Bombyx mori: one gene and its partners. The protein of the gene in region 2 purifies or fractionates together with the protein of the main gene of each other region. This does not show direct contact. Links are inferred from orthologs where the notes say so. Each region holds a gene or a part of one and is shown on either strand. Other genes may lie near its edges. The genes, in order: S-phase kinase-associated protein, armadillo segment polarity protein, paxillin, CREB, ruvB-like helicase 1, E3 ubiquitin-protein ligase UBR5 and transcription-associated protein 1.

The links.
Region 1: the proteins of armadillo segment polarity protein (region 2) and S-phase kinase-associated protein purify together in Homo sapiens (affinity purification with western blotting; 3 studies listed by BioGRID, with this or other methods). This does not show direct contact. The link is inferred for Bombyx mori from reciprocal best matches to the Homo sapiens genes CTNNB1 and SKP1.
Region 3: the proteins of armadillo segment polarity protein (region 2) and paxillin purify together in Homo sapiens (affinity purification with western blotting; 3 studies listed by BioGRID and IntAct, with this or other methods). This does not show direct contact. The link is inferred for Bombyx mori from reciprocal best matches to the Homo sapiens genes CTNNB1 and PXN.
Region 4: the proteins of armadillo segment polarity protein (region 2) and CREB purify together in Homo sapiens (affinity purification with western blotting; 3 studies listed by BioGRID). This does not show direct contact. The link is inferred for Bombyx mori from reciprocal best matches to the Homo sapiens genes CTNNB1 and CREB1.
Region 5: the proteins of armadillo segment polarity protein (region 2) and ruvB-like helicase 1 purify together in Homo sapiens (affinity purification with mass spectrometry; 6 studies listed by BioGRID and IntAct, with this or other methods). This does not show direct contact. The link is inferred for Bombyx mori from reciprocal best matches to the Homo sapiens genes CTNNB1 and RUVBL1.
Region 6: the proteins of armadillo segment polarity protein (region 2) and E3 ubiquitin-protein ligase UBR5 purify together in Homo sapiens (affinity purification with western blotting; 3 studies listed by BioGRID and IntAct, with this or other methods). This does not show direct contact. The link is inferred for Bombyx mori from reciprocal best matches to the Homo sapiens genes CTNNB1 and UBR5.
Region 7: the proteins of armadillo segment polarity protein (region 2) and transcription-associated protein 1 purify together in Homo sapiens (affinity purification with mass spectrometry; 3 studies listed by BioGRID, with this or other methods). This does not show direct contact. The link is inferred for Bombyx mori from reciprocal best matches to the Homo sapiens genes CTNNB1 and TRRAP.

What each region holds. Positions count from the first base shown.
Region 1 is NC_085119.1:7,149,667-7,153,814, reverse strand, and holds S-phase kinase-associated protein, read right to left. Parts: upstream 2,703-4,148; 5' UTR 2,556-2,702; intron 2,465-2,555; coding exon 1,976-2,464; 3' UTR 1,296-1,975; downstream 1-1,295. UniProt on the Homo sapiens protein: Essential component of the SCF (SKP1-CUL1-F-box protein) ubiquitin ligase complex, which mediates the ubiquitination of proteins involved in cell cycle progression, signal transduction and transcription.
Region 2 is NC_085116.1:12,303,003-12,307,180, reverse strand, and holds the start of armadillo segment polarity protein, read right to left. Parts: upstream 2,801-4,178; 5' UTR 2,660-2,800; intron 2,613-2,659; exon of another isoform or gene 2,416-2,612; intron 2,374-2,415; 5' UTR 2,343-2,373; coding exon 2,306-2,342; intron 2,234-2,305; exon of another isoform or gene 2,066-2,233; intron 1,631-2,065; coding exon 1,506-1,630; intron 650-1,505; coding exon 544-649; intron 415-543; coding exon 204-414; intron 73-203; coding exon 1-72. Other genes in the region: uncharacterized protein LOC101744306, read left to right, coding at 4,001-4,178. UniProt on the Homo sapiens protein: Key downstream component of the canonical Wnt signaling pathway.
Region 3 is NC_085116.1:14,686,553-14,689,740, forward strand, and holds the end of paxillin, read left to right. Parts: intron 1-2,006; coding exon 2,007-2,273; 3' UTR 2,274-2,458; downstream 2,459-3,188. UniProt on the Homo sapiens protein: Cytoskeletal protein involved in actin-membrane attachment at sites of cell adhesion to the extracellular matrix (focal adhesion). Recruits other proteins such as TRIM15 to focal adhesion.
Region 4 is NC_085116.1:8,892,990-8,897,810, forward strand, and holds the start of CREB (cAMP responsive element binding protein), read left to right. Parts: upstream 1-1,536; 5' UTR 1,537-1,595; intron 1,596-1,721; exon of another isoform or gene 1,722-1,834; 5' UTR 1,835-1,849; coding exon 1,850-2,002; intron 2,003-2,164; coding exon 2,165-2,314; intron 2,315-2,555; coding exon 2,556-2,721; intron 2,722-4,821.
Region 5 is NC_085128.1:12,885,789-12,890,542, reverse strand, and holds the start of ruvB-like helicase 1, read left to right. Parts: upstream 1-1,674; 5' UTR 1,675-2,045; coding exon 2,046-2,186; intron 2,187-2,563; coding exon 2,564-2,692; intron 2,693-3,608; coding exon 3,609-3,783; intron 3,784-4,326; coding exon 4,327-4,529; intron 4,530-4,720; coding exon 4,721-4,754. Other genes in the region: importin-13, read right to left, coding at 122-274. UniProt on the Homo sapiens protein: Possesses single-stranded DNA-stimulated ATPase and ATP-dependent DNA helicase (3' to 5') activity; hexamerization is thought to be critical for ATP hydrolysis and adjacent subunits in the ring-like structure contribute to the ATPase activity.
Region 6 is NC_085121.1:11,160,671-11,165,686, forward strand, and holds the start of E3 ubiquitin-protein ligase UBR5, read left to right. Parts: upstream 1-1,840; 5' UTR 1,841-2,060; coding exon 2,061-2,122; intron 2,123-4,564; coding exon 4,565-4,914; intron 4,915-5,016. UniProt on the Homo sapiens protein: E3 ubiquitin-protein ligase involved in different protein quality control pathways in the cytoplasm and nucleus. Mainly acts as a ubiquitin chain elongator that extends pre-ubiquitinated substrates.
Region 7 is NC_085110.1:5,823,491-5,827,785, forward strand, and holds part of transcription-associated protein 1, read left to right. Parts: intron 1-108; coding exon 109-344; intron 345-472; coding exon 473-713; intron 714-1,059; coding exon 1,060-1,261; intron 1,262-1,696; coding exon 1,697-2,027; intron 2,028-2,107; coding exon 2,108-2,269; intron 2,270-2,346; coding exon 2,347-2,598; intron 2,599-2,705; coding exon 2,706-2,905; intron 2,906-2,992; coding exon 2,993-3,063; intron 3,064-3,156; coding exon 3,157-3,362; intron 3,363-4,019; coding exon 4,020-4,196; intron 4,197-4,295. UniProt on the Homo sapiens protein: Adapter protein, which is found in various multiprotein chromatin complexes with histone acetyltransferase activity (HAT), which gives a specific tag for epigenetic transcription activation.

The DNA of each region.
Region 1 (4,148 bases), on a different chromosome or scaffold from region 2:
ACGCGATACACCGTCGACCGGTCGCTCTATTTACTGCTATATTGTTCCTGCTGTACATCAAGGGAGGTAGAGAGAAGATAGCAACCTCATACATTGGATAGCATTGGAGTAACACGCACATTTAGTTACGAATTAAGGAAAATATTGCAGATGTCAAACCCAACATAAGTCTGATTTATTTTAACATACTCTGGACAGTGCTAATAGTGAAATTTAACATGGCTCAATACACCCTAAACAATCCTTAATTCCATAAATAGCTCATGAAGCTATTGTAAATAAAAGGAAAAAAGGTTGGATCAGAAAAAAAGTAATCATCTGACTATTACATGAAACCCCAAGTCAAACAAACTATGAGACCTAAACATTATGTTCTATGAAAAGGAGAGAATAAATAATTGATAATTATTATTAATTATTTTTTTTCATTTGTAATGATATTTTATTATTAAAATAATAATGATTGTAAACAATAAATAATTGCCAATAAGATTTTTTTCATTACAAATTTTATAGTTTACTTGCACCTCTTATCCATGACCACAAAAACTGTTAGATTTTGAAACTGAAATTATAAATTGATAATAATATACTCAAGATAAACTGTAAAAGTAGTTTTTTAATTATAAAAATTACAATCCAACAAAAAATAATCACCTTTAAAATTTTGTTTTACATAGCATACAATGTAGCACAATATAAATTAAATTGCTGGAACTCACTTCCAGTTTCTTTTGAAAGAGGCAGACGGACATTTCTGACTATGGGTTCATATACTAAGCTTTAAAAGTAATTTTAATGACAAATATCTAAGAGGAAAAAATTGTTTCATATATATTATTTTCATTTGTTATGCTGATGGTTTAATTCTATCTTAGCATCAGGAACTGACTAAGGGAATGTGGTTATCAAATACATACATATACAGTGAAAATCTATTATAACAACATCGAAGGGACTGCTCATATTCAGTCGTAACAACCAGTGATGTTTAATGTGTATCGTGCAAGTACAAACAAAGTACAAACAAATCGATAGTGAATTATTGGAAAAATATATTTACACAAAACGCAATTTTTCTTTGTTATTAATTTGTTTTTTTTCTTTGCAACATTTTGAAAGTTTCACGAATAACTCCACAAAGTTTTGGTGTGTCTTGTGTATAGATAAGTAACAAACTAACTGAAAAGATATGAAGAAGTGGGCTTTGACTCTACCGCATACACATTTTTGTTTCTAAGAATTAGAAAAGACCCTACACTAAACAAAATCCTATTGTTTTCTTTCCTGATTTTAATAGCCATTGAAGACAAATGTGGATACCTATTCAAATTGTTTACAATACAGCTTAGCCGGTCGTTCTAACAGATCTAATTCTCCGAAATATTAGTTAAATGTGGTCATTTTATTAGGTATGTCGGTATTAGCAATGTCGTATAAAGCAATGTTTTTAATAAGGCGGTCATATAGCATTCAGCCGGGACCTTTGTTCTAGGTTATTATAACCAGCATGTTGCTCAAAATGATGTCGCAGTAAACGGTTGTGACTGTATATTTATTTACTTTTTGTATTGACATTGATGGTGACAAACTTATTTTTGTGGTTTAACATTGCAATGGATACTGGCAATTTCTGGACACAATCAAGACTACCCACACAATTAGTTAAAAAATAAGCAGATGACAAAAATTTAAGTCAGTGATTTATGCTAATTATTTCTATTTCATAAAGTAAATTTTCCAATAAATATAATACAATTAAAGTTAAATGAAAAGTAATTTAAATGATAATATGAAAATTTAAATTTTATTGAAAATCACAATGACATGATGTACCTATTTTTATATAATTTACAACACAAACAAATTTACTTGGTTTAAATTAATTATTCTTTATTGCCATGGGAAAAATAGTTTAATGTTGCATACATAGTGATAATACATAAAGATGCTTGCAAATAGCATTTATTATGGTTTACTTTTCTTCACACCATTCATTCTCTTTACGAACCTGATCTTCTTCTGCAGCAGTGAAATCATTCTTAATGTTGAACGTTTTACGGATTTCTTCAGGAGTCTTTCCTTTGATCATGTTTGCTACAGTTTTACATGTGACATCTAATAAACCCTTGATGTCCAAATAATTTGCAGCTAATATTAATTCAAAGAGTGTGCCTTGGTCAACTTTCAAAAAATCAGCATCCCATGATGATATGTCATCAGTCCTCTTTTCCTTGTTTTCGTCATCTTCTGGTAGCGGAGGATCGTCTTTATGATAAGTAGCCCACTGAATAACTTTTTTGAGTATTGCAGAATTGACATTAGGTAAAGGTACAACTTCCTCTTCATCCTCTTCCATGCCTAAGTCTTCTAGCATAGTTTTGATAGTTACGGAGCATTTGGCGATTTCAACATCAACAACGAAGACCTCGTTGTCTGATGATTGCAACTTAATATTTGGCATCTAGAACAAAAGAGCGGTGGGAACGTAAATCATAAAACGACGGCTGAGAATAAGACGCCATTTTCCAATTTATAAATAGCGAAGTATTTACCTTGTTTTTTCAAGTATTTGAATGTTCACAATTAAGTGAAATTTATTTATCTTCAAACGAAAATGCCCTTATGTTCTGGAGATTTTTCCTTAAACCCAAACAGTGAATCAATGAGTGAACGAATGAATAAAATCATTAATCAATTTTGTTTTTTTTTCTGCTTTCGTTTAAATTTTTCTAAGGGATTTTATGACCTGGTAACTAAGACCTTTAGGTCATGTCTTTTTTTAATTTATATTCAGATTTTTATAAATTTTTTATTATGGAGTGAAATGAAATGAAGATGATTAATTTGAGACATTAATCAACTGGGATGAAATTAAATGAAATGAGTTGATATGGTATGAAATATAATCTCAGTAAAATGGTGGTTATTTACTAAGATTTTTTCAGTGGACTTTTTGGAGGAACTCGAGAAGTTACGTCCAGCAGCTTTGTTTCATTTTCCCACTTTTGTGCACTTTCACAGATATTAAACATTTAATAAACCACCGTTATTACACATTTAAACCTGAAGAAACACTAAATAGACAAAATAAAACAAATCACACAACTTCACTCCTCGCGCTCCCGCCAAAAGTACCTCCAACACCAATTGTTTTTTAAGGGATTTTATGACCTCATAACTAAGACCTTTAAGTCATGTCTTATTTTAATTTATATTCTTATTTTTATGAAAAATGATAATATGGAGATAAATGAAATGAAATGAAGATGATTAATTTGAGAAATTAATCAACTTAGATGAAATTAAATGAAATTTGATGATATGGGATGAAATATGATCTCAGTAAAATGGTGGTCATTTACTGAGATTTTTTCAGTAGACTTTTTAGAGGAACCCGAGAACTTACGTCCAGCAGCTTTGTTTCATTTTCCCACTTTTGTGCACTTTCACAGATATTAAACAGTTAATAAGCCACCGTTATTACATATTTAAACCTGAAGAAACACTAAATAGACAAAATAAAACAAATCACACCACTTCACTCCTCGCGTTCCCGCCAAAAAGTCCCTCCAACACCAACATTCATTTCCCACCATAGATACACACTTAGTTTCCCACACAACTAAAAAAAAAAAGAAACTTGTGAATGGAGTAAAGAAGAAATCTAATATATAAAATTCTCGTGTCACAGTTTTCGTTGCCATACTCCTCCGAAACGGCTTGACCGATTTTGATGAAATTTTTTGTGCTTATCCGGTATCTATGAGAATCGGCCAACATATATTTTTCATCCCCCTAAATGTTAGGGGTAGTCCACCCCTAAATTTTTATTTTTATTTTTTAGACAAAATTTTTAATTTCTATTTTTTTATGATACAGCATACAAAAATACATACAACCCTAAATTTTCACCCCTCTACGATCAACCCTTATTTTTTATTTGCTAATTAAAAACTTTAAAATTGTTTGCGAGAATTTTGTTTTTATTTTGTCATGACGTAGAATAAAAAAATTCATATTACTCTGAAATTTTCAACCCTCTACGATCAACCCCTATTTTTTATTTGTTAATTATAAACTTTAATTTATTTGGCAAGATTTTCATTTTTATTTTTATTTTGTCATGAATTAAAATAAAAAATCTG
Region 2 (4,178 bases):
ACCATCATGGCAGCTTGGGATACTACTACTTGATCTTCATCATTCAGTAGCTTTATCAACTCTGGAATAGCTCTGAAACAAATTTAAAATCAATAGGAATAGAACAAATGAATAATAATAGTGTAATGTTTTTTTTTTCATGCTTGTTGCCTGATGATCTGATAGAATATCTGGTGTTAGGCTATTATATTACATAATTATACCTGGTAGCTAAATCAGCATCATCTTGATAATTGATGAGGTTCACCACAGCATGCTTTAACATCTGGGAAGGTTCAGCTAAACGCTGGACAGCAGTTGGTTGAGCGGGATCCAGCTGTGTCGATGGAATTTCAATTCCTTCCTCCAGCGTTTCAGGAAACATAGCCGCACGGACTCTTTGAGATCTAGTTTGAGAAAGCTGTTGATTCATATCTGAAAGTAAAGCATATGATATTGAATACAACAATCCAAACAGCTTGTATTGTCATAAGAATTTTTGTGTAAAATTATTTCTATATTGTACATTCAAACGTTTCTAAATGAAATGGGGAAACAACTCACCATCAACTTGTTCTTGAGTGAATCCCTGAGCAAAACCCTGATCAAGGTCAAACATAAGTTGGTCACCTTCCATCTCATCATCTTCCTTGCCAGTTAGTGATGGAACCTGAAGAGAATCATACATTTAACTAAAATAAATTGATGTGACTATTCAAAAAGGTAGGAGTCATCTGATTATCACTCTCAGTCAAGTTACAAAGGTATGGTTATGTATTCTCATAAAAAATCTTTTGTACTTTTGGGAATAAAAAATATTTTTTAAATATCAAATAAAAGTTAGCAATTATCACTATAGCTGATCTTTTGTGCATTTTTATGATATTTTATATTACTTTTCGAGCTGTATACTAAGATTTTAGTTTCATCAGTGCTTAAACAACTATTAAGAAGTACACAAGGCTTGACGTGTACTCTAAAAACTAAAATGCAAGAATATCTTCACACTATAATGGATGGTGTTTTGCTCATATTTACTGTCCTTACTTAAAGAACACAGGCCAGATAAAATCAATGAAATACCATAACAGATTTCACTAATGAAAGTACTGCTCAGTTCAATTCAAAATCTATTTAATATGCAGAAGTAATTTTCAAACTGCTAGTTTGTATGGTTCAGTCACGACTAAATGAGACAGAAAATGTTTTTTCTTTTTCTTTAGATCATTCTACGTTTAACAGTTAAAAGTTCCATGATAAAATCAGCAAGGTTTAGAGCACACGTAGTTCAGGTATCTCATATTATGAAGTGTCATCATAATAAAAAATTTAATCAAACTTCATCATTATTTTGTATATTGAATGACTTATGTTGTTGTATTGATAAAGATAGATTTTCAGTTGTGTCCATCCCAAAATTATGTTAAATTAAGAAGACAAGCCGTATTTTATTTTAATCCAATTTTTATAATGAAATAGGACAATATTACTGCTGTATTTTATAATAGACAGTCTGATAACATTACCTGGGTAGCAGCTCCAGAGTTGATTCCAGAGTCCACTAAATAGGAGTTTTGCTGCCACATCAATGTCTGCTGCTCTTTGTTTGGTGCCATTGGCACATCAGAAGCAACATAGCTGCTGTGCGACACTGTAAAATAATGATGTTTTCTCGTTTTTTATTCACACAAAACAGAGAGATATATATATATTTCTGTAGGAATGTAAGGGGTAGTATGGGTTTAATTTCAAGCGAACATAAAGAGAATTAGTAAGTAGTTGCAGGAGCTAAACTTAAACTAAAATAAAGTGGTTACTTTATGCCATTAATGTGAACTCCACGTCTTTTGACAAGAGATTGAAGTTTCAATTATGTTGAATCCTAATCTTGTTATACCTGTATTTTCATTAATTGAAGAACCTTTTTGAGAGTTCTCAAATCATAACAAATTATATTTCAAATTTCCTTTTAATCTAATTTATTTGCAATTTGTTTAAAAATTGTTTTCAAATAAATGAACTGAGAATGTATGATTCAAAATGTAATTTTTTCCCTCAGTTTCAATTCCAATGTTTTCGTGTTTTAGGATTTCTTTTTCTTTTGCTACTTAGCAGAGAATGTACTGAGATACAGAAAAGTTAAAGTTCATTTATAAATTTATCGTTCAAGTAATGCCATATGCATGAGTCACGATAGACACAAACCGATTCATTCAATTGTATCGAAGTAAGTGGTTTGAACAGCGTTCAGTAAGTACTCAAGCTTTTTGAATGGCAATGATATGATAAATTTACATTTACAAAAGAATCAATATAAATTACTTACTTGTGCGACTTTGCGATGATGGAATTTGATAACTCATGATTTAGACGATGCGACGATGCACCCGTCCCCTGTTGTAAAAAATACCATAAAACATGTCTCCGCTTTGTACGTTATCGATCGATTCATAAGAATTAAAGCATGGTTCACATTAGAACTTAATCACATAAACATTTGCATTTATTTAATGCTTCCCACTAGGAAATACTTTTGGAACAGCGGAAAACAAAACAAATAAGTGCACCATGAACTAAATACCGAACACCACACCCGACCCCATAAAATAACTTGTACTGGTCGAGATATTAAGGTGACTAATATCATTATTTAATTAAAATTAATGCGAATAAAACTTACCTTGGCCGTGCAAGCCAAACAGATTAACTGTTTTCACGACTTTTAAATAATTTTTACAAATTAAATGCACAATATCCGACCCACCGTCACTCGATTCATACAACAACATGGCGGAGACTCGTCGAATTTCGTTTACTTTCAAATGCAGCTGACACTAGTATTGCTACTTCGTTCGCTCTAAGGTATTGCATATGCTTTTATCTCATTTTTTCTTCAAAGGCTCGGGGTGCCAACATAAAGTTCAGGGATAAATTGTAAACAATACGATTCGTGGCACGCAGATTTGTATTTTTTTAATGATGCCTAATTGATTTGTAACTTTTTTATACAGCAGATAATAATTTTACATAATTGTTACGTCATATTATTATATTAAATGACCTAGTTTTAAAAAACCTGATGTACCTGAGCCTTGACCACTGAGTCTACTCCCTGTCTGAAGGTACCTGAGGTCTTATTCCAGCTATGCCCGGACGGGTATGATTTTAAGGGATTGACATGAGTTAGACCACGTGACGTTTCGTTAGCATAGGTAATTATTATTTATTATGTCAATTCCTTAAAATTAAATATAATAAATACGGTACTTCTGTATTTACATATCTAATATTCACATTAACGCTAGTACATTCACAGATAATATATGTACTTAATATTTAAGAGCACACTTTGTCTAGATCCCTAGGTCTATATTGGTTACTAGCTAATATTTAAGTTTTTAGATTAAAGGCGGTTGATTTTATCAGGTATCTTTATCAACTTATGTGAAAATATTTCTAGGTACAAAATTATTTCGAAGCAACATAGTAGGCAGAATCCTGCTTCAAGATCAATGCACGAAATAATGTCATACAAGTTCCGTGGCCGTGAATGCGATGGCGATATTACTTTCAGATTTTTTGTTGGCATCAAAAGCAAAAAAATATCGTGGGTTCGATTCCCAGATCAGGTAAACATTAGTGTGATGAACAGATTTGTTTACTATTTGTTTGGATGTTGATATCCGTATAAATGAATGAAAGTATTGAGCCATTTTAAATGTTATAAACGTACTTTTAAAGGTATAGCTATGTATTTATTTATCTAGTTTGGGGCCAACTGAACATGTGTGATTTCTCCGAGCTAATTTTCTTTTTGTTATTTTGTAATCTTACAATTTGTACGAAAAATTTCGTCTTGACCAGCTGGGTAGTTAAAACATGAAAGCGCAACAAACCACCAATCCCACTTTCGCATTGAATAGTATTATTATGGATTGAAATTGCCAAGATCTTCTGCTTATCGGGACTTTTTTCAAAGTTCGTTTAAAAGAAGCACCTGTCAAATCGTAGACTCAAATGGATGATTTGTGCATATTTTTTATGGTATTTCAATAACACCGACCGTTGTGAAGCAAGAAAACCTCGAATAAATACGTGCTGTATAAAGTCTTCATTATTATTTTACGGAATCAATAAATTAGTATCACCTAAAATGGCCAGCAGTTTATACAATATATCAACGTACAGCCGTTTAAATT
Region 3 (3,188 bases), about 2.4 Mb from region 2:
CTATGCAATAAATAAAAAGGCTAACCTATATTCTTATTTAGTGAACCCGCAATGAACGAGCTCAAAACTTAGGGTCAACAACCTCTGCGATCGTCTGAGACTAAACCGATTTTGCGACTTTTTTGTGTTGTTGACACGACTAAATTGTGTTTAGAAAACACAATTTAGAAAACACGAACAGGCATTTCTCGTTATTCCTTCATCGTGGAGGTCGCTCGTAAATACGTGTTGACGTGTAGAAAATTATAACTGTCTACAGAATCTTAGATACCCACCGGCATAGTCGCATCTTTTTTTTCCTACCTAAGCTGACGGTCTAGAGTACTCTAGAGAGACAATATCAGCGTAACCTTAACTAGTAGATGAGCTCTCGGGGCTCAAACCTGACGACGTTGCTAACACGAACCCTAGCAAGAGCAGTGCTGCGCAGAATCTAACACCGGATCGGAAACGCGACCCACTGAGAAGATCTGGCAAGAAACTCAGTGGGCTGTGTCTGTAGGTTAATTTACTCGGCGAGCCCCTCGTCGCAAGCGATGGGTTCGACGAGAACGATGACCGGTAGTCGCATCGCTTAATACACTTGCACGAAGGTTTTATCCTTCACGCCACGACCAATCATCAAATACTATGTACTAAATTCGTCCAAGATTTCCCGACCCACTAACGGTGCTTTTAGGTACTCAAGCACGCGCGCCTTTCTCAAGGCGTAGTCTCCCGGTAGGAATTGGAAGAAGAGGAGGACTTTGGTCTTCCTCTTCTTCCTCTTCTTCTCTGGAGGCGCCGGAGTCCGACATAACCCGGTCTATTACCCCTCTCGACCGGGTATCCGTAAATGGATTCCCCAGCGTTAAAAAAAAAAAAAAAAGGTACTCAAGCACCGGTTACCGTTCACCAGTAAACTAACCCACAGACAGCCCACTGAGTTTCTCGTCTGATCTTCTCAGTGGGTCGCGTTTCCGATCCGGCGGTAGATTCTGCGAAGCACTGCTTTTGTTGGGCTAGTGTTAGCAAATTATCTCGGGTTGTGCACGCGAGCTCATCCATCCGGGTATACCAGTACCAGCGAGTAGGTAGTGAAAAAAGGGGGATTCTAACAACAATGATATTAATTAGCAAACTAATTATAGTAAACAAACTAAGTATATCATATTTTAAAGTGAAACACGCATATTAGTTACTTTGGTTGGTACTGACGGCCTCCGTTTCTCTGCAACGCTATGAAGTATCATATAAAGTCGCTCTCACCCTGGTGGCCACTGGCCAGTCGGTTTGTCAGCATATCAATAAACAGTGCACTTACAAAATAATTCAACAAATAAACTCCTCGTAATAAAACATTAATAATGTTCAACGTTGAAATTTTACAAAAACATCGTATTTCATAAAATTAGATTAAAAAATCTTTAATGTTGATATAACCAGACGTTTTCATGGATTGCGTCCAAATTATAATGTTAGTCGGTTGAAGGATAGACGGAAAACATTCTGACGCAACGCGACCCAGATTTGTCAATTGCATATGTATTTATTTAAAAAAAAATCTCGGTATATTTTTGTAAATTCAAGATTTTTTTCTTCGCTAGTATCTACTATGGACACTTCGTAAAACAAATAAATCAAAACACAATGAATATATAATATAGTCTTGTCGCCAATTACTGGTGGCAGGACCTCTTGGGAGTCCGCACGGGTAGGTACTACCACCCTGCCTATTTCTGCCGTGAAGCAGTAATGCGTTTCGGTTTGAAGGGTGGGGCAGCCGTTGTAACTATACTTGAGACCTAAGAACTTATATCTCAAGGTGGGTGGCGCATTTACATTGTAGATATCTGTGGGCTCCAGTAACCACTTAACACCAGGTGGGCTGTGAGCTCATCCATCCATTTAAGCAATAAATAAATAAAAACGGGGATCTGCATCAAGGAATACACATTAATGGAGAATGCGGTGACGCGCAAATGTACTGGGTTATTTGTTATTAAAAAAAAAAAGTTGTGTTCCAGGAATGCCGTGAGCCTTTCCACGGAGGTTCGTTCTTCGAGCACGAGGGCCAACCGTACTGCGAGACGCATTACCACGGAAAGCGAGGGTCATTATGCGCGGGCTGCCACAAACCGATCGCGGGCCGATGCATCACGGCGATGTTCAGGAAATTCCACCCGGAGCACTTCGTCTGCGCGTTTTGCCTTCGACAACTCAACAAAGGCACTTTCAAAGAACAAAACGACAAGCCGTACTGCCACGCGTGCTTTGACAAGCTGTTCGGGTAAAATGGCGGCGAGCGAACGCAAAATGGCGCCTGTTGTTGTCACATCAAAATGTCGGATATCGACAAATAAATTTTATGTAATACGACTTTTATTAATTATTGATCGGATACAATATATTCGTATTGTTATAAAAATCGATTTATTATATTATTAAACTAAATGGAATAACATTAGATTTTATGTGAGAACATTGTTTGTTTTTTGTGAGATTTAAAGTCTCGAACAATGAAGTCTAAATATAAACTCATCTGCTCACGATCTTAATAGCTCATTGAAAAAGATAATCGATAATCGAAAATTCGAAAAAAAAAAAAACATTTTTTATTGGTCTAAGTTGTAAAGTTATCAATAAAAGTAAGGAATAATACGCAGTAGTAATTTACTACCATTAATTCCTTAAAATCTCTATAAAATTCACTACAGTTATGTTTAAGGTAAAGAAAACAATGAAAAAAATATTCATTTTCTTACTAAAATGTTAAATTTCTTAAAATATAACGGATATTCTTTGAAATAGTAGTAGCTAGATAAGTGCATGTGATGACTAATTATAAAATATTTATATAAACCCTTATACAGTTTAGATAGGTTTAAATGTTTTTGTCGTCGGTCTAAAATGTCACAGACATTAATTGAATAAGGTTATAAATAAATATACGCGGTTAGGTCATAAACAATATTTTTTTAAATAGTGTAGACCAGGAGCCTCCTATGTTATTTGTTTTAGATTTTGGTACGCTGATAAATTAGGAAACGGTCAGCACACCCTTGTAAGTAACAATCGCTGAATTTTTACTAAATCTCCCATTCTACTTAGGGAGAGAGAACTCAAATAGGGAATATTTGAAGAGTTGAATATGGAGTTCATGTGTCAAAGCATTTCTTGCCTAAATATCGCTAAGTAATACCACTTAT
Region 4 (4,821 bases), about 3.4 Mb from region 2:
GAGATCATGACTATTAAGGAACGAACTCAACTGGTTATGGATAAGGCGTTCGAGGACTTTAGATAGGAAAGGAAGAATGGATATAGGTCGATAGTCGGAAAAGGATTTAGGGTTAGGTTTTTTTGGCAGAGGTATTATCTGTGCTTCTTTCCAAACAGAAGGAAACACACAGTTGGAAATTGAAAAATTAAGGATGTGGCAAAGAATAGGAAGCAGGATATCAACTAATGGGATGACCATATTACGACTTATACTATCTGTTCCGATAGCATTGGACGCTATAGAAAGGATACTCCTTCGAACATCACAAGCTGTGAATTGACGAAATTTAAAAGAAGAATGGTCAGGAGCGGTAATGTTAGAAAGAGAATTAATGGTAGATGACTTAACAACGTCATCTAATAAAGACGAAGAAGTAAAGAAAATGTTCATCTGATCAATGTTAATGTTTGTAGAATTACACTCTTGACGAGATTTACCAACTCCTAATGACCTTAGAAATTTCCAGACTTTTGCTGGATCCTCAACTTTAACGGAATCATGAATGTGACGTCTTTGAGCGTCTCTACACACCATATTGCAACGATTTCTGATCTTAACATAACGTGTTCGGTTAAACTCGGTTGGGCGCAACTTATACTTAGTCTTAGCCGCAGACTTCCTCCTCTTCAGATCTCTAATATGTTTATTTATTATTTAATATATTTAATTTATTTTTATTAATTATTTTTCATGTCTTGTTTTTAACTAGCTTATCCTTTTGTTTCCTTTTGATGACTTTGTCGCGGGTAGTTTCCCTACCTTTCACTTGAAACTGGCATAAAGTTAAAACTATTGCCATAAAGGAAAAAAAAAAAAAAAAAAAAAATATGTTTGATTTTGAGTTTTGTTTTGTGACAGTTACATTGAAAAAGTCGTGACACTTGCAATATGTGACACAATAAGAAGATACAATGTAGGCAAAAGTAGCTTGCATATGCAGCCACGTGACTGACGTCATCATATACCACATAGGATTTAGGGAGTATAAAATTGCTTCAACACAGAAAGTTACTCCCAAAGAGTATATAATCACTATAACTGGTTACTCCAAAATGGTGTTTTCTTTGGTTCATTATTTATTTTAAAATTCATTGATTATTTATGGACTAAGTTGTTTGCGAAATTTAAAAAAATATGGACAGTTAAAAATATTTTTTCTTGTACAATATTTTTAACATGCATAAATGTCGTGTAAGTGATGATAATCAAAAAACGAAAACAATGATTATGTACCTAGACATATTATGAACACAATTTTTTATTGTAATTTCAAAGTTTATAACATCCATTACTGACAGTTATTGTAAATTGAGAATTTTTAACGCATGCGCTATCCAGTTAAAGAATTCGGCCATATTGTGATGACGCATACAAGATCATAGGTCTCCGCCAGTGACGAGTCTTCTCGCAGTTGACGTGGCTACTACGTACCTTCCCGTTCACCCACTCCGGACGCAGCATAGACGGTGACGAGGAATACGTAACTGGTGAGTGCTTGTGAAGACTAAACTTGCGACCTGTCACGGTCGCATATATTTGGAATCGCAAATAATGTATGTTCCATATGATGATAAAATCACTCAAAATGTTCCAAACACAGAGATAATCTGTGTCATTTACATGAAACGCGTTGTTAAGAAATACCGCGTTTTGGCTATGACGTGATGATGCCGTTTTAGGATATCCCGTGAACAACCTTGCAACGATAGAGCCAAGCTAAACAAATTGGTTTTGCAATACGCATAAAAACCTAGTAATGAAGAATGCATAGAGAGTTGACCTTGAATTTTAGGTGACCTTAGTTGGCATGGAAGGGATGGTTGAAGAGAACGGCACCACAGGCGGTGCTGGCACGACGGATCCACTGGCCAGCGCGAGCTCTTCGACACCGGGTTCCACTCCTCATGTTGTCACCAGTATAGTACAACTTACTCTACCCAGTCAGGCTCCCTCTGCACAGGTGTGAATTCCATCTATATGTATTGTTGAGTGAATCAAATTAATATAAAATTTTAATATTATAGTTAAAAGGGGACCTTTTCAATAATATCAGTAAACTGTTTGTTTTGTTTACAAATATTAAGACTAGATAGTACATATAAATCATTTAAATTTTTTGCAGGTGCAGTCTGTTATTCAACCTAATCAACAATCAGTGATACAAACAGCATCCAATATCCAATCTGTACAGATACCAAAGGGAAATGTTATACTTGTTAGTAAACCCAGTTCTGTAATACACACTACGCAAGGGACATTACAAACGTTACAGGTAAATTAAATATTCTCTAATCTTTACAGTAATTCACTCAATAGTGTTGAGGAAAGCCATCATTGCCTAATTTTTTGGTTAGGATAAAAACATTTTTTGAAATCAAACTTTATAGCATATTTAATGACCAAAATAAGCAATAACTAGAGTATGGTTCAATTGTAAATTTTCATAAAATCATACTAAATATCTAAAACAGACAAAAGTTTCAAATTTTTTTTATTCCTATTTCTTATTTTAGATAAAACCAGAACCTAATACACTTGTGAATACACAAGGTCAGTCATGTAGTGATGAAAGCTGTGGCAGTGGTGATGAAAGTCCCAAACGTAAATATAGAGAAATGTTGACTAGACGTCCGTCTTATCGAAAAATTTTAAATGACCTTGGAGGAGCAGAAATTGCAGGTACAGTTTCTATGTTTACTGTTTTGGTGTATAATAAAGACTTGTGATAGATGTAGTGCTGTGCATTGTGCGAATAATAGTCTGCTCAATAATAAATTATGCAAACTTGATTCACCTAAATCAATCATTACATTTTTTGTCATTGGATCAGCTACCAATGTAATAATATGGAAAAAGCACTAATTTATCAAATGTATTGCTGTTAATAATACTGCAGTAGTAATGAAGATGCAATAATTATGATAACAATGTCATATTTTGTCTTTCAATAATAATCATAATTTGATCACAATGACTAAATATTTTTAATTAAAATTGGTTATTATCAATCAATATGCTACTAAATTGGCACAGTTAATTGTCGCTAGTACTAATGTTTCATAGCACCGAAAAAGCTAGTAGTAATATTTCTATACTAAGATGGGCCCACAACCCCTCTTTTTCAACCCATGTCCACTTAATACTGAGTGTAGTTCTCTTCACATGCACTCAATTCCCTTCAGTCTCTTGCCTTTCTCCATCTACATCCAGTACTTACTAGCTATTTTGACCATATCGTCAGTCCACCTCCTTGGTTGTCTGCTGACATTACTTTGCTCAAGGCCTACATATTATAAAACGACAACTGGAGCTCATAGAAACTGCAATGTGAATGAGATTGGATTATGATGTTCAATATTTTGCATTAATACAATGACCACCTTTGGTCAAACCGGACACATTATTATTTTTCACTAGAAATAGGTACAATACTGATACCCATGTGAGGGCTCATGGTATTCCAAATTTAAAATTAAAGAGGGTTTTATATGCTGTTTATTGATATCAGAAAAACCAAAGCCAGAACCAAGTCACTCCCACTGTGGAGCTCCAAGATATTACTTAAAGTGGTGGAAATTACTGGCAGTAGCTTAAAGATACCAATTCTTGTATTTAAGACGAAACTGATTTCTCTGACTTAAGATATCATTAGGCTTTTTATATATATTACAATCTAATTCTCTTATTATTATATATTTTGAGCCTGGCTAAATTCTTAATGCATTAAATTTGGAGGTGAGGTGAGGATTTAACTTCACTCATTAGTGGAGTTAGCACCTCTATTAATTGTTAATGTAGATAAAAAAAATACAATTACAAGTAAAATATAATAGTTTCGTTAATACTCTTTGTCAATTTCCACACATGTGTATGTACAGTATATAAAAAATAATATATGATCTACAAATTTTGTTCAGTAAGTTTTTAAATGTGAAGCTAACCAAAACGCTTGAAGTAAGCTGTAACCGTTTCTTCTTTTGCAATTGTTGGGCAATCGGTCAGTCCATTTAGACAACGATACTTTTCACTTTTATTGTGTCATTAATGAAATAATTTAAAAAAAACTCCTGAAAGACCAATAAATTGAAAACTTTAAATTTAATGTCATTCCATTTGTATCCAAAAATAAAACTTGAATAATTTGAGTTTAATAATTTTTACTTTCAAACATTACTCTGGTAGGAAATCTTGTTCATTAATACAACTTACAAATTTAACCAATTTAGCTCTCAAAATAAAAATAATTAACGAAATAATATCTTGATACTAAATAAAAATATCTTCATTGTATAAGTATGCAAGTTTTTTTTTTGTTCCAAATGATCTGATTGAGTTGAAACTTTTTTACATTCAGGATAATAATACTAAGGTATTTGCAAATAGCAGTCTTAATCGTAGTCTAAGTTTCATCTACTTCTAAATTATATAATTTTATTAAAATGAAACTAGCATAGACCGTAAAACAAATTAAAATCTGGCACGATTACCGTCCACGGGGAATATAATAATATGTAAGATTGTACATGAATTGCTTGAAATAAATAATAGCATAGAAATGGTTATTGACCTTTTTATAGGTACTATGAACTTTTTATACTTTTCCACTCTTGTAGCCGAAATAAAAAGTGAAAATTAATTTTCATAATACTGAGTATAAACTTTACTGGATTATTATAATTAAAAAATTACTAACCATTATAAAATGATAATTAAGTTACCTACAAAATAAATAAATTGATTGTAAAATACTCTGCATCACTCCATAGTCAGAAAATAACA
Region 5 (4,754 bases), on a different chromosome or scaffold from region 2:
GAGTTTACACAATATTAAAATTGATAACTAGTGTTGGATTAGAAGTAACGAGAAGTAATGAATTCCTTATAATATGTAGAATAATATATTAATTAGTTTTAATTAATTTTAAGATACGAACTTTAGTTGGCTGAAGAAGATCCCATACAAAATTCCAGGCTTCGGGAACTCTCTGAGCCGTTGTGAGCCACGCATGTGCGTTGGCCCTTTCGGTTTGTTCTCCGTTATAGAATACAGAAACGGCGTATTCCAAATTCTGCACAGTATACTCCATTTCAAATTAGATTCTCCAGTGAATCTAATGCTATATATATACCGGAAAAAAGGCCTGATTTTACTTGAACTAATAAGTTTAGACCTAATTCATCTATCTCACTGTTTTAAAACTATCTTTAAGTTAGATTTTTGTGTCTTAATCAATACACAATATTGTCTGGATTGATTAATTTATCTTTCCGATTTTACATTTCTGTAATTTTGTCAATTTTTGGCATTTACCTACCGGATTATGTGAAATTTGACTTTACTAAATGTCAAACGAACCCAACCACTGTTTTTTTTTTTGCCTACTTATGCTGGTAGCTTCAAGGGGCTATAGTTATACCTATCAGCTTCAACGGGTGAGTAGGCGAGCTTACGGGGCTCAGCCTGACGAATTGGTGTATACTAGCCCAAGCAAAAACAGTGCTTCGCTGAATCTACCGCCGGACCGGAATCAACGACTACTATAATTCTGCATAAAATATATTATAAGATTTGTCGGCGATACGTTAGGATTTTTACAGGTAAAAATAGTAGAACGAAAATGTAACACAAAATTCTATAAAATGTTAGCATTGCGTGAATATTACTTATATACATCTATACCGATATCATAAAGAGGAAAGATTTGATTGTTTGTTTGTATTGAATAGGCTCCGAAACTACTGAACCGATTTGATGATAGAATAAAACCGAAAACTATTTATGATAGAATAAAATAATGTACTACGACTTTGTAGAACACATTAATATTTACAGTGTTTTTGCAGTATAACTATTATAGTTATGCCACAGTAAGTGTTCTTTTATTTAAAAAAATAAAACTACGTCAATTATCGTTTACAGAGAAGCTCTGACTTAATAAACTTAATGGCTTTTGTTTTGTATGTATTACATTATCTTTTTACGAAAATTAGAAATATAATAATAAAAAAAGAGATAAAAAATCATATAGAATTTTTTTTTTAATTAAAATAATAGTATTCAAACTATATTTATAGATAATTTTCTTTTTTTAGTAACTCAGGGCAAATAGAAGAGTAGATGACGTGTGTGTGCTATAATTTTTTAATTTTGAAATTTTTGTTAATTTTCAAATGATTATGCAAAGTTTTCGCTGCATTCGTGGTTTTCCAAGCTGTGTCGGTTTTTTAACAGACATGAAACCGCGCGAACCGCGATCCTTCGCGTAGTCTCCCACACATTCGTGTGACCAGTTGCGCCCAGGATAGCGAAGGCAACGGACGTTTCGCTATTTTCATAGATCGTGACGTCCAGGTACTGTGTAGCGTATCTTAATCAAAAGAAATCCCATAAAAACAGCATGGCTGTTAATGATGTCTGGGAAAGAATTCAAAACTCTTTTTCTCTTCAATATTCTATTGACGAATTAAAAAGGAGGAGAAATTCGTGAGACATTCGTAAACAAGTGTAGGAGGAAGCGCAAACGGGTTCGCAAATTGAGTACCGAACCCATTTGCACAGCCGCTAAGTTTGCGAATGAATGTTTGACGGCCCTTCACATGCGCGCAAACATTCGTACAATGTACGAATATTTGCGCGCATGTGAGTGGCCGGCATTATGTGCTGTAGTCTGTAAGAAGCGTATACCTAATCTATGGTCTGTAGCATAGATTATAAACTTAATATATTGTCTGTACAGTGTAGTTTGTATAATGTATGGTGTAGTTTAAAAAGTAAGTTTGCTCAAGTTTGCTGTTGGAGTACTAAAAAGAAAATACAAAGTAACGTCTACTGTTTAAAAGAGTAAAGCTGCTTTCAACATGAAAATTGAAGAAGTGAAAAGCACAGCTAAAACGCAAAGGATCTCTGCTCACAGTCATATAAAAGGCTTGGGGTTGGATGAAAATGGTGTTCCTATTCAAATGGCAGCCGGTCTCGTGGGTCAAGAGTCTGCACGTGAGGTATACAATAAAATTTCCAAAAAAATTGCCGATAAATTTACACTCGAAATTGTATAAGTTTTATTAGATCAACCTCGTAGAGCAGAAGTTCGAGAAAAATAATTTGAGGTTATCAATGTTTGGTTGCTATGGAATTATTGATCAATGGTAATTGGAGGCAATATGACAATATACATAACAAAATGTTGAATTGTAGGATTAGGTAGTTTAGTAATAGTAATTCAATGTAATCTTAAGCAACCTAACACATTTAATACAATCTAATTTTTATTTATCATTTACTGTCCAATGACCACAAAATTACAGGTATTTTTATTGCATCTATACAAATACATTTTTTTTTGTAAACTATTTTTTATTAATTTTAAAAATTGTAGGCTGCAGGGATAGTTGTAGATATGATAAGAAGTAAGAAAATGGCCGGGCGAGCTTTACTCTTGGCAGGGCCTCCTGGTACTGGCAAAACTGCTATAGCTCTTGCCATCGCTCAGGAACTTGGAACTAAGGTAAGTTCTTACTTAAGTCTGACAATATAAACTTGGGCTGTCACCTTCTTATTTTCATATCTAAAATGAGTGTTTTTTTATTATTATTTTTATTGCTTAGATGTGTGGACGAGCTCACAGCCCACCGGGTGTTAAGTGGTTACTGGAGCCCATAGACATCTACAACGTAAATGCGCCACACACCTAAAGTTCTATGGTCTCAGTATAGTTACAACGGCTGCCCCACCCTTCAAACCAAAACGCATTACTGCTTCACGGCAAAAATAGGCGGGGTGGTGGTACCTACCCGTGCGGACTCACAAAAGGACCTACCACCAGTAATTACGCAAATTATAATTTTGCGGGTTTGATTTTTATTACACAATGTTATTCCTTCATCGTGGAAGTCAATCGTGAACATTTGTTAATTACGTATTTCATTAGAAAAATTGGTACCCGCCTGCGTGATTCGAACACCGGTGCATCGCTAGATACGAATGCACCGGACGTCTTATCCTTTAGGCCACGACGACTTCTCTTTAAAAGTCTTTTTATTGACAATCTCAATGGCATCGGTTTAGAGCATACTGACCATAGTGTGACTGACCATGTGTTAACATTTTACTGACCGATTATGGTGGAAGCAGCCACTTAAGACTTCCTATTCGCACACTTTTTAGATAGAGGTTAGGAAACAGCTACTAAGAAAATAGTAAATTCCAGTGAACAAGAACTGTTGAAAGAATGATTAATAGGCTCCTATTAATATACATTGGCATTAGAAAATTAATGAATATGCTAAACAGTACATTACATATAATAAACTTATCATAGTTTCCTCAGTGTCCTTAGCTAGAAGTATATGAATAGAAATATCATCATCATCAATTTGTCATAAAACAAGCATAAAAACATTTGAAAATGTTCATCATTACAGGTTCCTTTCTGTCCAATGGTTGGTAGTGAAGTTTACAGCACAGAGATCAAGAAAACAGAGGTATTAATGGAGAATTTTCGACGTGCTATAGGCCTGCGTATACGTGAAACCAAAGAAGTATATGAGGGTGAAGTAACTGAGTTAACACCTGTTGAAACAGAAAATCCTGCTGGAGGTAACTATAGCAAAATTATTCTTTTATTCTTTTATATATTAATATGGACTTAAGAGGGTCTGAATTAAATGTTTTTTTTTTTTTTTTTTTTATATTGATATAAGAAGGTCTAAGGGTCTAAATAGGGTCTCTAGATAGCTAAAGCCAAAGTGGATATAATCTACTATGATTGAACTTAAAATGAAATTAATTGACAGATATTGGCTATAGTCAGTTTGTATTTTAAGAACAGCAATTTAAATTGAAGGTTGGGAGTCCGTTGCACATTCAGTAAAATGATAAGTTTGTCTAAACCTTAACTACAACTACTCTTAGCACAGTTTGTAGGCAGTGGGTTGGCTTTCCCCTTGACATGAAGCTTTGAAATTGGTCAAAAATTTGATACCAAAGTTCATAATATTAGTTTTGATTTTTTGTGTGGATCTATCATGCAATGAATAATCTTGCTTCAATTACTGTAAAATTTTGACTTGACTTGCTCTGACTTGATTCTTTGGCTTATATCTGCTTTACCTAATATTTTTGATATCTTCTTTTTTTAAGGCTATGGAAAAACAGTATCTCATGTGATCATAGGACTAAAAACGGCCAAGGGTACCAAACAACTTAAACTTGATCCAACTATATATGAATCGTTACAAAAGGAAAAGGTTGAAGTTGGGGATGTCATTTACATTGAAGCTAATTCGGGGGCAGTGAAGAGACAGGGTAGGAGTGATACTTTTGCTACTGAATTTGACCTTGAGGTATGTACATGGTGCATTTAAATTTAGTTGTAGTGGTACTTACTAGAATCATTTAATACCAAATCAACAATCAATCAATCAAATTGAATCAATCAATCTCCTCCAAACTTTTCGTAATTCTACTTCTGACTCATACAATCAATTCTTAATCCCCTCTTTGGATGATAATCAACTTTGAACTTGTTTCCTAGGCTGAAGAATATGTTCCGCTACCCAAAGGTGATG
Region 6 (5,016 bases), on a different chromosome or scaffold from region 2:
ATGGTTACAGTTAACACACTTTCCAGAGTTCGGAAGGAATCGGTGGCGAGTTTTTCACAAAATTTTCGGTGATTTTTCACAAATATTATATTTTATACATGACGTGTTGGATCTTGATTGTTGATTTTTTTGTTTACTAGCATAATCCGCGGCACGCACACGATTCTCTGGACCCAAACTAAGATATTTATACCATGGGACCCACAAATTGATATACTTAAATAAAACTGAGACTTCACATAACTCTAAATAAAAAATATCATGACGGAAAATCGTGTGATTTTGTGGCCAGTTGACGTGATAATTTCGTGATATGAATTGACCTAGAAATCGTTGCGGTAATAAATCGATTGTTTCATCCGTGGCATATAATTAAAATGTATCATCTATGGGCGTGGTATATGGCGCCGTCCTACTAAAACTAAATGTCATCGAAATCTATGGCGTCTATTTAACAACAAAAACTTATTATTTTCATGTAACGAATTCCGCGAAGTATGCGAGCGATCTCATTGTAACTTTTCCAATTTTTTTTTAAAGATTTTTCGTTATTTTTTTCGACTTAAACTGATAGCCTAGGGGCTTATGCCAGCGTAACCGGGCGAGTAGGTGAGCTCACGGAGCTCTGACCTGAGGACGTTGCCAAAACTAGCCCCAGCAAGAGCAGTGCTTCGCAGAATCTACAACCGGATCGGAAACGCGACTCACTGAGAAGATCAAGCGAGAAATTCAGTGGGCTGTGTCTGTGGGTTAATTTACTCTTCGTCGTTGTGGTACCTAAAAGTACCGATAGTGGATCGGGAGGATCCGGAATGACGTGTTTTGGGCGACGTGGACTGTTTATCATTTGTAGTTATACTAAAAACATGTAGCAGGTTTGGTTAACAATGGTTTTCAGGATCGGGTACTATAACTACATGTTACCGGCGGCCACGACAAGAGAGTTTTCGTGTCACGCCGCTTTCTCAAAATGGCGCACTGATGCCGACTGTAAATAATTACTGATGGAGTCCAACTCCACATTATCGTGAAGATCCACGTTCTTCACGAACCACGGTGCTCAGAGGGCTATTTTGCAAAAACGGGTTTGAATGACTTGCAGGGGTTTTAAATTAGTGCGGGCTGCGGGAGCGAACACACACTTGCATAGGTCATGACTGGATGTATGCAAGTTTTGTAGACAGTCACCTTATTACGAAGGGACAATTTAATTCCCTTGTAAATCATCCGAGAAAATGTTTTTAACAAGGTGCTTCATACATGCTTCAAATGTTATATAATCGAAACATTCTCAGCTATCAAATCTATGCTATGCAATGCTAATCATTGCTACTTGCACGAAATAAAAATTCACAAGATTAAAAAATGCACTCTTGATGAGACATCTATAAAATCAATATAATAAAACAAAATTGAAGAATTAAAAACTTACTTAAATAGTGCATAACTTACTTGTATGTACTACTTTTTAAACTCAGTTTTTAAAGTGTACTTTAAAGAGAATAATGCCTTTTTAAATAAAAACAAGTAGGTAATGCTTTTAGTTGCCTTTTAGGACTACAACGCAACTATTTTCTTTGTGACATCAATATTTAACTTATCTAGTTCATGGATAATTTCTGTATGAAGATTTTGTTTGAATTAGAACCTCCTTTAGAGATTTTTTAACCGTTTTGCTTGATATACTTAAAAGAAGTAGCTATACTATGTGTTAAATGGTTATTTAACTTAATACAATAGTTTCATTTATCATTTTCTTTTTTTTACGATGTAACCGGTCCCCCAAGATTTTAGTCGATTATTTTTTTTGTAGTTAGCGAACTCTTACCAACATTAAGGAAAAATTTGGTAGCCATGTTGATATTTTCCTTCTTTTTTCGTCATGTACCGACTCACATGTATTTGAGTACGAGAAGCGATTACAAGAGAAACCACGAGAAATATGGTGGTTGATGGAAAATTGTAGATGGTGTTCTTTTGTTCGTGCATAACTGTGGTGAATTTTAACAAATGTTAAAGTGTGCTTTGAAATCTAGTTTCCACGGGATAGAATCGTGAAAATGTCTGCAATGCATTTTGTAGTTCATCCTTTGCCTGGGACGGAGGATCAGTTGATAGACAGGTAAACATATTTTATCGTTTTGCTAGACTCCATTTCGTTCACGTTGTGAAATCCGACATTCCATGACTTCAATTCACAAAGAACATTTTAATGTCTCACGTTAATGAGCACGGTGTACTCACCTTAAATTTTTCAATTTCACTATAAAATATAATATAGATGTACATACTAGGTATATATGTAATAAATACTTTTGTGTGTCGGTGACATTATGTATTGCAGTTTTTTCATGGGCATGGCAAATATAATTTTCAGATGTACGATTGCAATAAAATCCGTTTTCTCGTGTCCAGTTTTACAGTATCATAATTATTAGTTCATGATCCCAATTATAAGTTTCTATAGATATTTCAGTTATGAAGACACAATCAATAAATTGATGCTACCTATTTATACAAAAGTAGGTAGGTCATGCTCATGATGAGATTTTTAAACTACAAGAGATAAATGTTTAGATATAAAATGCACTGAATTCGATTTACAGGACTATTATTCTTTAAATCATAAAGTATATCTCAAATATAACTAAGAAGTTTCGAAATATACATGTAGTTTACTTGATACTTACACACCCAATTAGTACATTTCTTTTTGCTTTCTTTACCCTCTTAAATAGATTCTATATGAAAAAAATCAGTTCTGAGAAAATGCATCTTTTGTGTTAAGTTATTAAACGGATGACTACAACAATATCTAATAATAAATAATTGCACCCAACTGGGATCAATCTATTATCACATACAGGTCTATTGTCACCAATAAGCTCAATACTGTGATAATAGACAGGGTCTTCTGTGTTGAGCAGTGTTGGTTAATGTCACCATTCCTCATGACGAGAACATCATGAAGGCAGAAAAGGATAGCTTAATAAAATATAGTTACATTTTATAGAATTTAGACCTGACCCGCGCAACTAACTTTATGGCATGTTGATTCAACAATCTTGGTTTATCTGTTCAACAATCTGATGGTTGTTTAATTTTAATTCAAATTTATATGGTCAAGTGTGTACACCTAGAATGGCACCATCACATTCTTCTCATGGTGTTTGTGTTACTAATGAATTCATTAGATAATGGGCAGCACACTAAAATAGTCAACTAGATTTTACGGGTGGTAGGATGTATTGTGACCTGCACTGTTTAGTTAACAACATCCTGCTTATTTCTGCCGTAAAGCAATAATATCTTGCAGTGTGAGGGGTGGGACAGACTATACAGTAAATGGAGACTATGACCTCATGTTTCAAAGTGGATAAAAATGTGAATTATATGGGTTGTAGTAAAATTATGTGACTGTGAAGTTTGTAGCTTGTTAATCCAAAAAAAAAAATCAGTCCAACAACTGAATACAACAAGAATACAAAGAAAACCTATTGCTAACTATAAATTAAATAAGGGATGTCTATATAATGTTCCACTAGTTTGTTAAATTTAGTACTAAAATTATTACACAAAGAACATAATTCTAGAATAATACACCTATAATTACCATAGAAACTTCATTTTTACAAATACTTGATTAAATATTCAGAAAATGTGCTTAGAGAGTACACATAATCAAATAGCTATATTGTCAGATTTCAAAATATTTTTACCTATTTGATTCACTGGTTCTCTACTTAGTGAGTACTATATCTTGGAGTCTGGGTTCTATTGCTGGTGAGTTCCAGTATTAAAGATATTTTATACCATTAGGGATCAAGGTAATGTAAGGTAATATTCTAGTCTATTATATATGTTTCCCTCAATAATAACAAAGAAAAAAATCATAACTTGATATAGTTCAATGTGCAATCTCATATAATTGAAATCTATTCTTTGGTTGCAGAGAGAACATTATTGATTTCATATTAAATTCAAATTTATTTAAATTTGACAAAATGGTAACCACAATTTGTAAATGTATTACAGAAATAGGCAGGGTGGTGGTACCTACCCGTCCTCACAAGAAGTCCTACCACCAGTATTCATATAATAACTTATATTCATAATAACTTATTTCATATAATAACTGAAAAGTATTTATAAGTAGTCTCACTAGTGGTAGGTATTGTCAGTCCACACAGGTATGTACCACCACCCTAACTATACTGAGGCCTTAGAACTCTTATAACAATCCGGGTAGCGGCATTCGTTGTACATGTCAATGGGCTCCGGTTACCACTTAACACGAGGAGGGCTTTGAGATTGTCCAACCATCTAAAAAAAAGTACTGTAGGATGAAAAATTAAATCAAAATTACCTTGTCTCTGCTTTTCACTACTCTTTTACTAATTTATAAATGTATTTACTGATTGACTTTTATTTAAATGATGAAATGGACAATAAATGTTACTCAATATATGAAATGTTTTCGTATTTTTATCTATCTAAGTATTTTTACCAAATTCCTTTCAGAAGATTTAAAAAAATATACAAAATTTGTATTTTTGTCTTACAGAATTAGAGAAGTAGCAGAACGTTGGAACCGATACGGAACAGGTGCAGGTTCTTCAGCTCTCAGTTCACTGAGAGGTGTACGGGCTGTTGCTGCTGGGCCTGCCCATATTGCATGTTTGTTGGAAGATGGAACCATATGTAGAGCTGCTTTCTCAATCATCCCTGATAGATTGGACCTGAGTAAATCAGATGCTAGCAAGAATGGAGGAAATGGCGGTGGCGGAAGTGGTGGAGGTGGAACGAGTGGTGGAAAGCAAGGAGGCAGCAGTGGTAGTTGTGGATCTCGCCAACAGCCACGCACTCGAGCTCGAATTATGAGAAATTCTATTCGTGCTGCTCCTAGTTCTCAAGGTAATTTGTCTATTGTTTTCCTTAGTTATAAAATAATAAAGAATGCCGAACCTATGCTTAAACCATTATTGTGCAGGCTCTTTCTGTTCATCAAGTTTTAGC
Region 7 (4,295 bases), on a different chromosome or scaffold from region 2:
TGAGGTACAAATAAATAAAATTAATACAAAAACGCTTATTAGAAGTTATTTGCAAATTGGAATATGTTTAATTTGGAAAACATTCTTAATATTTATTTTTATTTATAGATCTTAACATTAACGAACATAAAGTATTCTTTCGTGAGTTGATATCTTTGTGTGAAGCTGAAGATTCGATGCTAGGGAAGCTACCTTGTTACAAAGGTGTCAACTTGGTGCCTCTACGCGCCTCTGCTTTGAGGGCTCTGGCGTCTTGTCACTACATGCAAGAGAAACACTGCAGAGAGAAAATATTCCAAGTACTTTATAAATCTTTAGAGAAGAACGATACGGAATTGCAACAAGTAAGTGAAGTTATTATATATTGTCTAAATAGTAAACAAGATCCAAAATTTTTTTCAATTTTTTTCTATTTGTAAGTATTTCCCAAACTGGCTGTGATAAAATGTAATGAATAATAATTTATACGCAGGCTGGCTTTGAATGTATGCAGAAGTTCTTATCCGGCTTTCAAATCGACATGGAGATGGTCCACCCGGTGATGCGGCCGCTGCTGCTGACCCTGGGCGACCACCGTCACCTCAGTGTGAACGGCGCAAAACGACTATCGTATTTGACGCAATTATTTCCCTCCACGTTCAGCGAGAAGCTCTGTGAGCAGCTTCTGCAGCTTCTGAAGAAGTTGCTGGATTATTCTATACAAACAAATAGGGGTATGTTCATGTGCAACTAACTGACCCGGCAGACCTCGTAATGCCTCAATCGTTAAATAAAAGATCTAAGCTTTTGTATAAAATAAACTTAAAACAAACAAAAAGAATCCGTCTGATGGGGGACACATAAAAAAAAATGTTATTTTTATTTAATTCCGAGCATTTTCATATTTATCTACCTTTTAAATATTCTTTGGACTTCCACAAATAATTCAAGACCAAAATTAGCCAAATCGATCCAGCCTTTCTCGAGCTTTAACGAGACTAAAACAGCAATTAATTTTTATATATATCTGCAATAAACAATCTTTATAGTACCACATAAATAACAAGTTTTATTTTCCAGGCGGAAATTTCTTGCAAAGTGTTTCGAAGAACATGGAGAACGAGCAAAAAATCTTGATTTTAATTGGAATATTTCATCAAATACCAGCAGCATCACCCCGCTTTATTGACGTTCTTTGTCGCCTTATATTTCACACCGAAAAGTCTCTGATGATTGAAGCTGGTTCGCCTTTTAGAGAGCCACTGGTCAAATTCCTTATGAGGTGAGTACCCACGCCACTTGTGGTTATAATAACTAGTGGTCCCGTGGTAGTTGAAATTCGACTATAATTAATTGAAATTATAAGTTTGTACATTACTTTATTTAGTTTACTTTACATGAACTTCTAATAGGTTGGGGAAAAAGTCTTTTCGCATTATAGTATGTATAAGGTTGTGTTATGTTATATAATATATGCGTGTGTGTGTCAAATATATGCTAGTGTGTGTAATGTTTTTTTATTGATTTAATGTATTTTTTACGCATAATTAAAAAAAAATTGTATTCTGCACTCCTTTTCTATAAGAGTGAGAAATTTCATACTCCTCCGTCCGCGCAATTTTCGTTAAAAGGGGTACATTTTTTGCTTCATGTATTAATATATAGATACAGTAGAATACTTTTATATATTTTTTTTATACTTATAATTTTATTTTAGATACCCAAAAGAGACCCTGGATTTAGTGCTGGGCGACAATAATATAAAGGACCAGCAGTGGAGTCGATTCCTGGTCTTCCTTATCAGACATCCCGAGGCTGGTCCCGCGTACAGAGAGGCGCTACAGACTTCTAAAAAGCCTCGTCTAATGCAATTGTTAGCGTCCAACTCGACCGCGACAGCCGCCCAACCTCAGCCAGAAAAAGCTGAAATGCAATTCCAGGCCGTCAGGGCTATATCGTTGCTGATCAAATATGACGACCAGTGGCTGTCCACTCAGCATGACTTGATAGAATTACTGAAACGCATATGGTACAGCGACAAGTACCATGTGAGTGTTTAAATTTGATTATATTTTTTTTAAATGTATTATATTTAATTCTTTTTTATTAATGAATATTATTTTTGCAGGAAATTCATAAGAAAGTGGAAATTGTGGATTGCACTCATTGGAAAGAACCAAAACTGATTGTGAAGATTTTGTTGCACTATTTCTGTCATCATCCTAACAATATCGACCTCTTGTTTCAACTGCTGAGAGCGTTATGCGATCGTTTTGTGCCAGACTTCCAGGTACTGTAAATAATATAGAAAATTTCGAATGCTGTTATTTACATAATTTAAGACTAAACTAAATGATTTTTTTATAGTTCCTGCGAGACTTCCTGGAAAATACAGTAGCACAAAATTACACAATCGAATGGAAAAGGTCGGCGTTCTTTCGCTTCGTCGAACATTTCTCTAACGACGCAATGTCTCAGGAATTAAAGGCGAAAGTCTTGCAGATGATTCTGATTCCCTGTTTCGCTGTTAGCTTCGAGAAGGGGCAGAAAATAGTCGGAGGCCCGCCGGCCCCATATCAGGACAACCCCGACAATGTCGTCTCTGTGTTCATAAATAATGTAAGTTTCATTCGTTTTGGTTCACATTAAAAGGTATACATATTTTACAGTGAGTTAAATATATATTTTTTACATTAATAATCGACATGTTATTTTTATCCAATCAGGTCATAGATCCAGAAAATCCATTCGCTTGTTCGGACGCGGTTCGCATATCCCTGCTCCAGTTCGCATGCCTGTTGCTGGAGCAGGCGTCGGCTCACATCCACGACGCTAATAACAAGAAGCAAGGAAACAAACTCCGCAGGCTCATGACCTTCGCCTGGCCGTGCCTCCTCGGGAAGAACTACGTCGATCCAGCCACCAGGTCAGTCAGGTTTCAAGTTAATGATAATTTCATTGATCCGATCTAAATTTGTTGTAAAATTAATCTTGATATACTTTTTTCCTGCAGATACCATGGCCATTTGTTATTGAGTCATATTATTGCGAAATTCGCAATACACAAAAGAATCGTTCTGCAAGGTGAATATGAAAATAATATTTATTTGTTTTAGTGGGATTTTAGTAGAGATTTAATAAGAAAATTACGTACTAAAATGTGTTTGTTTGCGTTAGTATTTCACAGTCTGCTAAAGGCCCACGCGGTGGAAGCGCGTTCTGTGGTGCGCCAAGCGCTAGAGATACTGACGCCGGCGATGCCGCAGCGCATGGAGGACGGCAACACGATGCTAACGCATTGGACCAAGAAGATTATTGTTGAGGATGGACATTCAGTGCAACAGCTCTTCCACATACTGCAGTTGGTCGTGAGACATTATAAGGTTAGTAATCGAGTATGAGTTCGAAGTCATTCGCGGGATTCGAATACCGACACAGTCACAACGCTCTATTGAATGCACCAGGCGTCTTGTTCTTTAGGCCACTACGACGTCAAAATACTAGTCGGCGGTATTAAGGAGTGATTGGAGCCTATAGGTAGTATAAAATGAATGTTGATGTCCTACTTGAGAAGTAAGATCGAAGTTTCATTTCGGTTAGTTTAAACACATTGAACTTATTCATTAACGCCATATAAAACAGCGTCAGTTTTTTTTTCATCTTTTCGCACGTAGCTTAAGAGGTTATTCCAGCTATGCGCGGACGGGTAGATGAGCTTACGGGCTTAACCCGAGAGAATTTGCTAACACTAGCCCATACAAGAGCAGTGGTTTGCAGAATCTACCACCAGATCGGAATCGCAATCCACTGAGAAGATCCGGCGAGAAACTTAGTGGGTTGTGTCTATGGGTTAGTTCGCCATGAGTTCGACGAGGAACAGCATCAGTATTCGATTTATTGGTATACAGCGATTTTACTGTACAGTTGTGTCATAGTTGACGCCTATAAGTGACATTAACTACTCAGGTGAATCGTATGCTCGTGGGCCTATAAAGGCCAAAAAAGAATCCTGTAGATATGATTAGCAACGTGACGTGCAGGTGTACTACCCGGTGCGGCACGCGCTGGTGGGACACATGGTGGGCGCCATGCAGCGGCTCGGCTTCTCTGCGACCGCCTCGCTGGAGCACCGCCGGCTCGCCGTGGACTTGGCCGAGGTGGTGCTCAAGTGGGACCTGCAGCGCATCCGGGACCACGCACTGCCCGACGACAACATCGTACGTACACTACATCTTCCTGATATGTTCCTAATAACAGATCTCAACTTAACTGATCGTTACATATTTCACTGCCATAAGAACAATAAGAAACAGATC